2 linked regions of the Ovis aries genome follow. The protein of the gene in region 1 purifies or fractionates together with the protein of each later gene. This does not show direct contact. Links are inferred from orthologs where the notes say so. Each region holds a gene or a part of one and is shown on either strand. Other genes may lie near its edges.

Evidence for each region. The genes of interacting proteins can lie anywhere in the genome.
Region 2: the proteins of PAK2 (region 1) and GIT1 purify together in Homo sapiens (affinity purification with mass spectrometry; 5 studies listed by BioGRID and IntAct, with this or other methods). This does not show direct contact. The link is inferred for Ovis aries from reciprocal best matches to the Homo sapiens genes PAK2 and GIT1.

Annotation. Positions count from the first base shown.
Region 1 is NC_056054.1:192,138,606-192,145,798, forward strand, and holds part of PAK2 (serine/threonine-protein kinase PAK 2), read left to right. Parts: intron 1-1,066; coding exon 1,067-1,166; intron 1,167-3,388; coding exon 3,389-3,585; intron 3,586-7,193. UniProt on the Homo sapiens protein: Serine/threonine protein kinase that plays a role in a variety of different signaling pathways including cytoskeleton regulation, cell motility, cell cycle progression, apoptosis or proliferation.
Region 2 is NC_056064.1:20,779,705-20,786,997, reverse strand, and holds the start of GIT1 (ARF GTPase-activating protein GIT1), read left to right. Parts: upstream 1-3,570; 5' UTR 3,571-3,770; coding exon 3,771-3,822; intron 3,823-3,845; exon of another isoform or gene 3,846-4,744; intron 4,745-7,293. UniProt on the Homo sapiens protein: GTPase-activating protein for ADP ribosylation factor family members, including ARF1.

The DNA of each region.
Region 1 (7,193 bases):
TTCATTTGTTGTTCTACTTTAATGTGGATAAGAAATAAAAACACAGCTTTTTCCAAGTTACAATTTATATGCGATTTACATTAAAAAAACATAGCAAGCAGATTTTTTAAAATTAATCTCATTCTGTTTTTAAGGAAGTGAGAGTACTTTTTCTGCTCTTTTGACTCAGTGCTTTCTGAAATATGACATAGTATCTAGGATATGGCTATAGCTTTATGTAAAACCTACCATAGCATAGCATAGCATAGCATAGCATAGCATAGCATAGCACCATAGAAGAAAGGAAGAAAACATTTTACATCACACTGAAGAACTGGAGAGAACCAGACTACCCAGTGTCTTATATTGATTAGACTTCTGAGTATCTCAGATTCAGATAGGAATGATTACAGGTTTATCCTTTACTGTTGAAAAGTGAAAGTGTTAGTCACTCAGTCACGTCTGATTCTTTGCAACCCCATGGATTGTGGTCCACCAGGCTCCTCTGTCCTTAAAATTCTCTAGGCAAGAATACGGGGATGGGTTGCCATTTCCTCCTCTAGGGGATCTTCCGACCCAGGGATCAAACCTGCATCTCCCGTGGCTCCTGCTTTGGCAGGCGGATTCTTTACCACTGAACCAGCTGGGAAGTCCCCATTACTGTTGAAATGATATCTAAAAAGCCTTGTGCATGTTTACCAAGTGCTGCATACCTTAAGACATTCAATTTAAACCTGAACAGGCCTAGAAATCATATTGACCCACCCATTCATTTCATAAATGAGAACATTGGAGACTAAGTGATATTCTTATGATATTAAATAACCTGTGGCAGAAATAAGACTAGATAAGACATTATTTAATAGTTGTTTCTGGATAAGACCAGAGTAGGAAGAGCAGGATCTAATTATTTAAAGTGTCTTATTTTTGTAACTTTGCGTGTGACAGAATTTTTTTTCTCTGTAAATGTATTATTAGAGTGTCTTCTACTAGATACTAGAGATGGTACTCAGGTAAGTAGTGTATATGAACTTCCCTTAGACTTTTCAGGGACTATTTCATTGATAGGTGTTTTTCTTCTGTTCAGTGTTTACAGGCATTGGAGTTTTTACATGCTAATCAAGTGATCCACAGAGACATCAAAAGTGACAATGTGCTTTTGGGCATGGAAGGATCTGTTAAACTTAGTGAGTAACAAGTGAACAGATAACATTTATATGTTACTTACAATTTTCTGCCTTTTAAGTAAAAACTCTTTTCCTGCTATTAACATTTTTATGACAATACATGGAGTTGGGGAGATTAGCAGTAAAAAGATATGGACCATCAGCTGGACAGCTTGAGTTTAAATAGTGGATCTACTACTCTTTGCTGAATAATTTTGGGTGAAATCATATAATCTGTTTATGTTTGTTTCCTCATTTGTATAGGGAAAATAGTAGTACCTATCTCAGAGAATTCTTCTGAGTACTAAAAATGTAAAACACTGAGGAGCAGTGCCTGGTACTATTGTAATGTTGGTGCTGTCTTCCAAACGTAAACTTGGATTTGTCTCTGCTACCTGTTGGGGTAGATTTTTCTCATTATGCTGTTCGTCTTTCTTTGAATTTGGTAGATGGTCTAATTAGGAGAGGCCTGTGTGACCCAGACATCAGAGATGACACTTTTAGGAAGAAAATTGTTTGTAAACCCCTTTCCCCTTTCTATCATGTATCAGACATGATAGAGTCATGGGGAAAAAAAACTCTCTTCCTCTGCTGGCTATAATCTCAGTTCCACCCATGCCTTCTGGAGGATTCAAGAACTTCTACTGAAGTTTCTCCAACTATGCAAAATGCAAGACATTTCTTGGATTAGGCGACCAAAAACTATTTCTTCTGTTTGCCTAGAGAATTTGGCTCCTTTTTCAACATCTCTTTTTAAAAATAGATTCTTCAGGGCCTTCCCTGATGGTCCAGTGGTTAAGACTCTGCACTTTCAATGTAGGGGATGTGAGTTCAATCCCTGGCTGGGGAACTAAGATCCCATAAGCTCTGTAGTCCAGCCAAAAAGTGGGGGGGAAAAAAAAATCCTTCAGAGGTTATTCAACTACAAGAATGAGGATTTAGTTTCTATTTGATGGTCAAAATATATAGTTAATAATTGTAATTTTAGTGGGAAAGCTAGAAATTGATATTCTCATACATTTTGGGTGGATATACAGGTAAACTAAATTTGACCTTTTTTAATAATATTTTACCCTGGCTCTGCCACTCACTAGATGAATGACCTTGGTGTTCCTCAGTTTCCCCATTTGTAAAATGGAAGTCATAATAATAAATGTACCTATCATAAAGTTAAAATGTGGTATGTTTTTTCTTATGAGGTACTTGAAACAGTTTTATAAGCACTCATTTTAGCTATAAATGTTATGATTTGACCTAACAATTGCCTTCTTAAGACTGTCTGCTATAGAACTGCTGAACATATGCACAGCAATAAGTACAAAAACGTTCTCTACAACCTTGTGAAGAAAACCAACAATATCTGAAATAATCTAACAGTACAGAAATGGTTAAATACATTATGGTATTTTTATGTTCTGTAAAGTTGTGTAGTTACAATAATAAGGTAGGTTAGTATAGTAATACAGAATGATCTCTAAAAATAGTTTTAAAAAGCAATTTACAAAGTATCCTAAGTGAAATATTTAAGTAAAATAAACCAATCAGTTTGTAGATATTTTTTGTATATTTGGAAATGTATAACAGAAGTCCCAAATTGACAGTCCTAAATGTTAACAGTATTTACATGTGGAATAGAATGAGTTTAACAGTAGAAGGAAGGAAACGGTTCTAGATTCTTATCTTGACTTTCCTACTGAATTAACGCTGGGTTCTAAATTAGGTATCCTGCTCCTCAGTTATAAAATGAGGTGGTTGGAATAGAGTAATGCTGGTGAAGACCTTGTGGGTACAGTTGTAGTTAAATGTGTTCTTTTTCTAGACTCTCTCACTGACTCATATGCTTCTTATTAATTCTAGCTTCTGTTTTTTTTCTTCAAAAGTAGTGTCCACTTCCTGACCTTTGCCTGATTGACAGTGGACACAGTTTTGGTGTCCAGCTTTGGTAACTTTTTCTTTTAGATCTTTTTCAACTTTATTAAAAGTTTTAGGATAAAATTAATTGTTTAGAATAAAAACCTTCCTAATAATTTACCTTCTTCTTTTTGGGAAGTAAAAGTTAAAAAGTGAGAGTGTATAATATCAAAATATCTGTAAGCCCATTCTGGTTTACTTTATTAATGCATTCTTAAAAACTAAGAGACTGAATACTCAAGTATAATTCATTAAGTCATATGAAGTAAACTCCTAAGACAACCCATGAACACCATTAACTCAAGATGTTTTGTATTTTTTTTGTTTTGTAGCTGACTTTGGTTTCTGTGCCCAGATCACCCCTGAGCAGAGTAAGCGGAGTACCATGGTTGGAACGCCATACTGGATGGCACCAGAGGTGGTTACACGGAAAGCTTATGGCCCCAAAGTAGACATCTGGTCTCTGGGTATCATGGCTATTGAGATGGTAGAAGGAGAGCCTCCATACCTCAATGAAAATCCTTTGAGGGTAAGACCAGTTAAACACTAAACTTACTTTCAGAAAATAATTTTCTTTAAATCATTAATTTAGAACTTGCATGTGCTAGGAACTGGCCAAGGATTTAGGATACAAAATTGATTAAAAACAACAAAAAAACAACCCCAAAAGCCCAGTCTCTTCTCTCACTCTATATCTAGAAAGTATTTGCTTCTGAGTTATTGAGTCGAATGTGTTAGGTTAAAGAGTTTGTAATTTTTTGATAAGCTGTATTGTTTCTTAAATTTGCACATAAATAAGAATTTGCTCAGTTTTCTGTAGAATTAAGAGACGCTAGATATAAGCTTCAGGTTATTGACTTTGAACTTTGGTCTTTGTACCCCCAGGTACAAAGAGGAAAGCAGGATCCCTTCTGTGAGGAGGCTGGGTAGATGGCAGTGTTAAAGCCCACATTCAGACAAAAGAGTGAGGGTCCCCAGAAACAGATGAAGTCAGTAGACTTTAAACGGTTTCATGTTCCAGCAGCTGAGGTAGAGTTCCAGCTTTCCTTCTTTCTCTCTTTTTCCCTTCCTTTCCTTCCTCCCTTTCTCCCTTCTTCTTCTCCTACTCTCCCTCCCTCCCCTTTTTCCTTCCTTCTTTTACATTACCATATATCAGTAGTTATTAAGAAAATGCAAATCAGAACCTCTATAAAATCACTTCATGCCTACTAGAATGACTGTAATAAAAAAGGCAGAAAATGATAAATATTGGTGAGAATCTGGAGAAACTGGAACCCTCGTGCATTGCTAGTGGGAATGTAAAATGGTATAGCACTTTGGAAAACAGTTTGACAGTTTCCTTAAAAATTGACATTGAGTTACCATGTAACTTGACAGTTCCTCTGCTAGGTAAATAACCAAGAGAATTAAAAGTATATATTCACCCAAGAACTTGTCCACAAATGTTCATAGCAGCATTATTCATAATAGCCAAAAGGTAGAAACAACCCAAATGTCTGTCACCTGATGAGTGAATAAATAAAGGTAGTATATCCATATATATATACAAGAATCCTTAAGGATATAGTATATCCTTAAGGATTCCAGCATATATATATATATACTACTTTTGTTTATTCACTCATCAGGTAACAGAGATTTGGGTTGGAAAATCCCATGGTTGGAGGAGCCTGGTAGGCTGCAGTCCATGGGGTCGCTAAGAGTTAGACATGACTGAGCGACTTCACTTTGACTTTTCACTTTCATGCTTTGGAGAAGGAAATGGCAACCCACTCCAGTATTCTTGCCTAGAGAATCCCTAGGATGGGGGAGCCTGGTGGGCTGCCATCTATAGGGTCACACAGAGTCAGACATGACTGAAGCGACTTAGCAGCAGCAGTATATCCATACAGTGGAATGTTATTTAGCCTTAATGAAGGGAAAGATGTACAGATACATGCAGCATTGAACCTTGAAGGCATTATGATAAGTGAAAGAAGTCAGGCATAAAAAATTACATATTGTCGGATTCCCTTTACAGTTGATTGATTCCTCATTTGTGGTAGGGTAGTTAGGTTCTATAACACAGCAAACACTGAATTAACAAATACTGAACCATTGCTTCTAGAGGAAGTCACATTTTTGTTAACTGATCAGTACCTCACCTTGCTTTATATCTATTTCTGTTTAAATACACTTTAATATATATTGATGATTCAGTCATGTTGGACTTAGAGCCACTGTAACTCATGCTTGAATTTGGCTTATCAAACCAGTACATTTTCTCCATAAGGCATGTCATAGCCTTCTTGTCCTTAGGAATGCTGAATAGTACGCTGCTTTTCACCTCTCTGCAGATTTTTATAGATGACCACAGAAGCACTGAGCATATTGATTTGGAGGTTACAGATTAATTATAGTGAACAGGTAAATTCACCTATATGGAATCCTCAAATAATGAGGATCAGCCGACTATGAAGGCTCTGGAACAGGCACAGCCATAGAGACAAGAGATTAGTGGTTTGCAGCGACTGAAGAGAGGAGGAAATGTAATACATGTGAGTGTTCTTTTTGGAAGGATAAAAATATACTGCAGTTAGACATTAGTGATAGCTGCATAGTCTTGCAAATATACTAAAGACCTTAAATTGTACGTTTTAAAAGGGTGATGTGAATTACATCTCAGTGAAGTAATTATTTTAAAGTTTTAAATTGCCATATATGACTACAGACTTACTGCCAGAAATATAAAAATTTTTTCTCCAAATAAGTTGGACATGCTGTAAAATGAGCTACAGAGGCCAGTATAATGGGTATATGCAGAAGGTGCTCTGTCGGGATTGTGTTGGATTTTGATGCTCATTTTCCTATTGCTTTTCATCCTCTTGCAGAGATTCCAGTTCAACTGAGCAATTAAAGTACTTATATAGAAGTGATTAATTTTAAAACGCTGCAGAACAGTTTTTAAAACTGCCAAACTGGTTCATTCATACGTTTGGCAAACACTGATTTGAGTACTTGCTCAAGACACTCAGATCAGTAAGGTGCTATGCAAGGTACAGGCTTAAAGAAGCAACAAGAACTTCTGCCACTATGGAAGGAGGAGAAAGACAATTTTTAAAATAGAAATAATATGTAATATGTTAAATGAGGGACCCTTAAGTCCTGGGGCCGGTAGGCAGAGAGTCAAGTGTCCAATATCCAAAGAGTGGTTAGGGTGGCTTCACTGAGGTAACATTTGAACAAAGGAAATAAGAGAGTGATACTCAGTTACTTAAGGGAAGAACATTTCCATCATGTGTAAAGACCCTAAGCAGGAGCATTTCTTATGTATTCAAAGATCCATAAGGATTCCAGCATAGCTAGCCTGCAGTTGAGTACACAGCAGGAGAAAAAAGGGGGATCAGTTAAGACATGAAGCCAACTGTGGTACCATAGGCCTTTGTAAGTATTTGGCTTCTGCACAAGTAAGACGAGGAGACTGTTGGAGAATATTGAATAGAGAGGTGAAAGTGATCTTCCTTCTGTTTTAACAGGATCACTCTTAGATTTTGATGGGATTACTTTGTTGAGAAGAGGTTTTCAAGAGAGGCAAGGGCAGAAGCAGGAAGACCAGTTAGGAGGCTGATGCAGTGATCCAGGCAAGAAATGATGATAGCTGAGACCTGAATGGTGTTGGGGGAGGCTGGAAAAAGTAGTTGGATTCTGAATGTATTTTGAAAGGAGAGCCTACATAACAGAGAGGGAGAGATGCCCCTAGGAGTTTGGCCTAAGCAATTGGAGTGATGAAACTGAGGTTCTCCTTGGCTGAAATGAAGAAGACTGCAGGTAGAGAAGAGAAGTGGAGGTGGCCGGTACCAGATCAGGAAGTAACATTTTTAACTTGTTTTGGACATGTTAGGTTTGAGGTACCTATTAAGATATCCAAGTGTCCATGTGGATATATTGAATAGGCTGTTGAATGTGGAAGTCTGGGATCTAGGATAGAAATATAAAATTGTTAGCTGTAGAATGTTTTAAAACTCTGAGATCAGGTCACCGGGTCTAATGGGCATAGACAGAGAATAGAATAGATATGGCTCTCATGTCAATGTATGGCAAAACCAATACAGTATTGTAAATTAAAATAAAGTAAAAACAAAAAAAAATAGAATAGAT
Region 2 (7,293 bases), on another chromosome or scaffold:
GCGGGGGAGAGAGGAGGGGGACGCGGATGCCCTGGGCAGCGCTTGTTATCACTGGGCCCCGCGGCATCATGGGGCTTGTAGTCCGCCTCGTGGAACTAGGGGGTGGTGAGTGGCCGGAGAGTGTCCCGCACTGTCCCCCTGATCCACTGAGACAGTGGGGAGTCAGGCCTGGCCGGGTCGGAGGCAGTGTCCTGACGTCTGATGGACTGGGGTGCACCCCCACCCCCTGGCATTTTGCCTTTTGCTGGGGAGGGACGGGGTTACAGGCCTTCCTCAAGCATTAGGGGGCGCGGGAAGGTGTGGCCTTCAGGCTTGAGTTTGAGTCCCGTGGAACGTGAGCAGGATCCAGATTCCAAGAAAAGAGTGACTGGTGGAAGGAGTCTTGAGAAAGGTGCGGGGCGTTAGTGTGCAGTGCCAAGGGTCATTGGAGCAACCAGAAATCTGGCATCTGAAATACTACGTAGGAGTCTTCCTGCCTTCTTTTAAAATTAAACTCCATCTTCTGCATTTGACTTTAGAAAGACGGTGTCTATTAAGGATGGGAGAACACACCCCTCCCCCCATACACTGCTGTCTGCAAGGACCTGAGTGGGGCTGCGCAGAGACTGCAGCAGGTGGCAGCTCCCCACCTCCACCCCGTGTGGTCCCCTCTGGAGAGGAAGCACTGGTTCCAAAGACTATCTCCTTCCTGAATAACTCCAGGGCAGAGAGATCTTTCCAGAAGGGTGCTTGCAGATGCCTCGATAAAAGTGGAATTGCCCTCCAGGGCAGCCTACTGCAGGAGCTAGAAGGACCTGGGGCTTGGCCCAGCCCCTGGAGGCGGGGAGGGACTGGGGTGTCCGAGGGAACCTGAATTCCTATTCCTCCTTACTAACTGCCTGACCTTAGGCAAATTGCTTAAATTTTCTCAGACCACTCATCTCTAAAATGTGTCTCTAATACTACCTCTTGGGGTTAGCTAAGGATGGCTACTGACCCGGAAATGATGCATCCCTCCCCTCACCAAGCCCACTGGGCCAGGTGGCGGGACCAGGCACTGCGCCTTCTGGAGCCCACCTTAGAACAAGACAGGAATCAGGGATTCCATACCAGCCCCACTTAGAACAATCCAAGAAGCGTTTGTGTGGGAGGTGCTAGCGAAAGCTTGCAAACTCTCCGTGCCTCTCTCAGGTTTCTTTGTGTGGTCTTCTCTTGTTCCTCCTCCACACCCTGCGGTGCCAGGCCCCGGCGCGGAACGATGAAGGAGGAGTGGACTGCCTCGCCCCTTTCTCCAGGCTGGGAGGAGCCAGTTGGCATCTCCCGCCGCCGGGGACCGCTGCCCACCTCCACCACGAGGGGTCACCAGAGTGCCGTGGCTGCAGCCGGAGTTGGGGAGGGGGCTGGAGCGGGGAAGGGACGGCCAGGAGTGGCCAGGAGAATGCCTGTACATTTCCTCATTAAATTGTTTTTTACAATCTTGTTGTGATCCTCTTTAACTGTCTTGCTTCCTGAGATGGCGAAGTCTCCAAAGGGAAATTTGGAAACCCTTTTATCCCTAAGCCCCAGGCCCAGAGAAGCTCGTCTGTGGCGGGGCTGGGGGCTTCGGGAACAAAGTTTGGAGAGTGGATCCGTGCTTCGGCCACTCCCCGGTAGTCCCAGGGCCAACCAGGAGATGGGGCTAGCGGGGTCGGGGGAACCGAGTGACTCATCCTTCTTCCTCTGAAAAGGCTTGGAGCTCAAGGAGGCGGGGAGCTCAGCCTGGATTGGGGGGCGGGGGGGGGGGGCGGCATCCTCTGGGCAGCCGGAGTTTCTCTTTTCGCTAAGTGGCCCTGGACTCTAAACCCAGGTCGCTTTTCCCCAGCCTGCGCGCTCCAGCTGCCACGTGCTCGAGACGCGCCCACACAGCAGAGAAACAAAGACAGCCAAGCAATGGGGCTGCCAGCAGCCGCCTCGACATTTAATAAATGAAATTCCATAGCTGGGGGTCGATCAGGGGTGAACGGGCGGCCACAGCTCGTGGGCTGGGCGCCCAGTAAGAGCGGCCAGGCCACTCCTCCCATCACCAGGGATGGGGCCACCAACCCCACGGACTGACTCCTCGGTGAGGGTGCGGCACGGGGCGGCAGGTGGTGCTCCCCACAACCCCACCCCACCCCGCGAGGTATCTGTGCTCGCAGAAACCCTGCCAGATGAGCGGCTGGCTATGGGGGGAGGGGATGCCTGCAAGATTTTTTTTAAAGGTGCGATTATAAATACACCCTGTGGATCGCAATCTCAAACAAACTTGTCAATCTGGGCTGCAGGGAAAGGCGATGGAGGCAGCTTTGCATATATTTCGGGTGGAGTGACTCATGAGCATTACTCGTCTCCCCCAGGGAAGCAGCCTGCCACCCACAAGTCACTGCTGCTCTGGCACCGCCGGGATAAAATGAGCCAACTCCAACACCCCTGCCCAAGGACTCCCCTCCAGCCCCCTTGCTTTTGAGCAGGACTCCTGGCCATGGGGAACCCTCCCCTAACCTGGGGAACCTGCCTTAATCGTGTCACCACTACCCTGGCCCTTGTGCCTGGACACCCTCGCCCTCTCCCAACAAACAGAGCGCTGGCCTTTTGCTGCTGCAGGGATGGGGGTTGGGTGCACGTGGGGCACACGTGTATGGGGGAGCATGCTCAGTGCAGGGGTGCACCCATGTGAGGCCTGCGCCTCCTCTCCCTGTCACCCCCACCCCTCCAATGAGTCTCTCCGTGAAGTCCAGGAAGAAAGACCACCACAGAAAGGATCCCTATATGTTATATGTCCACGCCCTAGACACACACTTCTGGTGGCTCAGAAATACCGTTGATGTACACAACACTGATACCAAGTGGATATTTCTGCACACAGGCACAGTGTTCACTCCTCAGGAGGTCTTCAAAAAAAAAAAAAAAAACCTGTCCATTCTTTTCTCTCTGGATGAAAGCATGGAGGACGGATAGATATCTTTTTAGCCCAGAGACTGGGGGATTCACTGCATGACCTCTGGTACCTGGCCGTCCATATTGTTGGCGGTGGGCTAGTCAGCAAGAGTGTGACCACACACACACACCTGGACACACAAATGTGGATACACGGGAGGACCGGAACGCACAATTCAACCCAAACAGACAAGCGGGTACCTCGAACCACAGCCCCTGGATAAGGGGGGCCCGGGGCCTCCAGCTCCTCACTCTTCTCAGATGCCCAAGGGTCACTGTCCCTGGGCCCGAGCTCCTCAGGCCACCCTCAGCCTCGAAAATGAAGGGGACGAGGCTGTGAGGCGAACTCGCAGCGTCTTGGCGGCAGGGGCGCACCTAGGCCCGGGCCGCAGGCGGCGCTGCGCGCTCGGGCCTGGCGGTGGCGGCCCCTTTAAGGGCCCCCGCCCCCTTCCGCCCGCGCTCCCGGCTTCCTTTCTCCGGGAGGAGCGGCGGGCTGGGCCCGGCGGCGGGGCGGGTGTGCGGGCCGCCCCTCCCCCGGTGGGCCGGGCCTGCGCCGCTTCCTGCAGGAGCGGCCCGGAGCCGCGCAGGGGGCGGAGAGAGCGAGCGGCGGCGGGGCGGCGCGGGGCGGCGCGGGGCGGAGGGCGCCCGAGGGCGAGCGGGCGGGCGGGCACGGCGGGTTCCGGGCCAGCCCCGGGGGCGGACGGTTGGCCGGGCGCGCGGAGCCTAGCCGGGGCCTTGCCGGAGCCGGGCCGGGCAGCAGGGGCCGCCGCCGCCCGGGCCCGCCGCCCGCGCCCCCCACGCTGGCCCAGAGGGCTGCGGCCGCGTCGCCGCTGAGGATGTCCCGGAAGGGGCCGCGAGCGGAGGTGTGTGCGGACTGCAGCGCCCCGGGTAAGCGGGGCCGGGCCGGGGGCGGGACCGCGCACCGAGGCGCCGCCGGGCGGGCGCCGGGGCCTGGCGGGCGCGCCGTGCGGGGCCGGAGGGCGGGGCGGGGCTGGGGGCTGCGGCCTCCGGTCTCGGCCCCCGCCCGGGCCGCTGCGGAGCCGCGTCCTTGGAGGGAGGGCCGCTCAGGGGGCCGCGGTTTGCTCGCGTCCGTGGACCAGCGAGGAAGGACATTCCCGGCGCCGCCTCCCGCCCCTCAGCTGGCGCCCCCCCCCCGCCGCCCCCCCCGCCTTCCATCTCTGGGTCCAAACGGAAGCGCCAGCCTAGGGTGGCCAGGAGGACTGTGGCGGAGGCCGGCCGGGCTTCGGAGGTGGGGGCGAGTGTGGTTTTGTGTCATCGCAGGGCCACCCCCGCGTCTTGCACCTGCTGCTCTCCTGGTCTGCGCGCCCGCAGGGGTGGCGGAGGGCAAGGGGCAGAAAGCCGGGCAGATGGGCCGGCGTGGGGTGGGGGTTGTCTGGATTCTGTTTTCTCGGGAGCAGACGGCGGGGTGGCTGCTCCTAGGACTCCCTGCCCCTGGCTCCCAAGGCTCCTCGCAAGGCCTGGTGTTCAGAGCCACCACAAGCTTGGGCATCGTCCCCTGAGGCGTCCCCAGGCCTGGTAACGGGACAACGAGCCTCAGCTTTTCCTGTGCTCCAGTAAGGCCTGCTTGGAAGGTGGCTTGGCCATACCCCAGCCTGGGCACAGACCTCTCTCCCTGTCCCCTAGCCCAGCCTTACCAGAAATGGGTAGGGAGCATGTGGAGGGGTGCCTACATTCCCGGGACCCACCTGGCTTTGTGGCCTGCCTCCCGGCTGTATTTTCCGTGCTGTTTCCCTTCTTCCCACCAAGTCAGGTCCAGGCTGATGTGAAACCCCCCTGACCTGCCAAAGAGGTGAGGAGAAATGACCCGGAAAGGCTGCTCCCTTCTGATGTGGGGGGACACTACCAGTGATCGGACTCTGCAGCTGCCTTGGGGAAAGGGGAAGCCCTGGCCCTTGACCATCCTCTCTTTAGAAAAGGAGCTATCTCCCTGGGAGACCTCCGGGCAGGCTCAAGGGGGATCCATGAACTCCAGGAGGACTCTGGGCACAATTAAGTGGAGAGTGTGGGCTGCTGTTTTGTGGCCCATCACTTCCTGCTACCCTTTGGACAGGCCCAGGGCTTCCCTGGTGGCTCAGTGGTAAAGTATCCACCTGCCAATGCAAGAGACCTAGGTTCAATCCCAGGGTCGGAAAGATCGCCTGGAGAAGGAAACGGCAACCCCCTCCAGTATTCTTGTCTAGGAAGTCTCATGGAGAGAGGAGCCTGGCGGGCTACAGTCCATGGGGTTGCAGAAGAGTCGAACACAACTGAGAGAGGACCCCAATAGGTTGAGACCCACAGATGCGCTGGTGGTTTCAGTGGCTCCAAGCTTGAGTGTTTGGGCACTGTGGGATCCCAGGAGGTGCATGGTGGTCTGGGTGGCTGTGACCCTGAGGCCTCCTCTCAGGGCATGTCATGGTCTCTTAGAGGTCCCTGAGGAAGCTGTGTGTCCAGGGATGTGGGGTGTCCTTACCTCTGGTTAGTTAGAAACTACTATTTCCTTACCCCCAACTGCAGGCAGGTCTGGGGGATTAAGCGCTAAGAGGAGAGCTTGCCTTCTGTGTGTTGGTCCAAGGCTGTTCTGCCCCTCTGCCGGGCTGCCCCTCTGCCCCGCGGAAGGAGGGAAGGAGCATTGGTGGGTTGGGAAGGTGTGGCTGGGAGGGGGTTGCTTAACAGACACTTTATCATGGAAACCTGGATTTTTGTGTTGCCTTTGTTTCTAGCTTACTCTCTGACTCATGGCAAGAGTTTTCTCATGCTGAGTCTCAGTTTCCTCAACTCTGAGGCCAAGAAGTTGGAGTAGGAATGGTTTTTGAGGACCATCCCATCTCCAGTCTGCGGTCCTGATTCTGGGCAGGGGGACGCAGGGCAGCGTTAACAAGGCAGTTGTCCTTTCTCCATTGCCTTTGACTACTTGATTGGAAGCCTCTGGATGCCCGTTGGGCATGGGCAGGAGTGGTGTGTCTCTCATGTGTTGGGGTGCCTGGCTCCTATCCCTGGTCCTCATCCCACAGAGTCCTGTGTGCTCCTGGGAACCTCCCCACCCCCACCCCACCCCCGGGCCCCGATCCAGAAAGCAGGTCAGGAGGAGGCAGGTGCTGAGGTGAGGATGTGAGGCGTGCAGGGTGCCGATAAAGTCTTGCTCACCCCAGCACCCAGCATGGTTTCTAGCACAGAGCAGGCATTCCCCCAAGGGATTGGAGGCTTCTCAAGACCCTGACTTCTCCTTGGGGCATTTTTCAGTCTGGGACCTGTAACAGCCCAGGTAAGAGGCTGGAGAGAAACTAGCAGTTTGGAGCCCAGGCCCAAAGCCCCCTCATTGGTGTGTGGTTCCTACCTGAAGTCGTAGGCCTCTCACTGTATTCGGAGCCCTGCAGACCCAGCCCTGGGAGCGGGGTTGTTGTCTCTTTGTGAGTGGTGAATTTGCGGGGTCTTGAGGTAAAAGGTGAGATGAGCCTGACGCCAAAGAGCCCCATCCTCCTCCCAGGCCTGGGTGCATGAGACAAATCTTGAGTGTGTTGTGAGCGTGGCACGGCTGCCAGCCCTGGCGGCTGGTGCTGTCTCGCCAGGCACCGTCTGTGACCCTGCCTGCCTTGGGAACCATGGAGGATGTGTGTCTCCCCTGTCCCGCCCGTCCACTCCACCTGCCGCACAGCCGGCTCATCTCTAAGGGCGTGCGTGTGGCAGCCCGCGGGCTCGGGCAGCCCCTGGCACAGACGTGAAGCCCTCACAATGCCCATCTTAACAGGCATCTTGAGTGAGCAAGGCTGGCCACCAGCTAAAGGTGTCTGGGAACCTGCAATTTCATTTGTCTCTTCATGATGTAAATTGTGGGCCGGGGTGAATGCTGAGCTTTTTGCTTTCACTGAGGTGTAGCTTATGTACCCCTGGAAAAGGAAGTGGCAACCCACTCCAGTATTCTTGCCTGGAACATCCCATGGACGGAGGAGCTGGTTGGGGGGGGATGCAGGGGGGACCTATAGTCCATGAGATCGCAGAGAGTCAGACACGAGTTAGCACACACTCACAACTTCTGTACAACAAAGTGCCTGTACCCTACTCTGTAGCCTGATGAGTCTTTACCTGTATACATACATAACTCTGTAGCCACAACTTGAATCCAGAAGTAGAGCGATCCAGAAGTAGAGCCCGTGCAACACTCTAAAGGGCTTTCTGTGTCAATGCCCGCACTGCCCCCCCCCCCCGCCCTGGCCCCCACAGGGAACCGCCACTGTGACCTCTGTCCCCATGGAGTAGATTACTCTTGCCTGCTTTCAAGATGATGGGCTTGTCCCTCTTGCCCAGGTGCCGAGATAGGAAAGGCTGGCCACTGGCTCCAGAGACCACTGGTGGCTTTGG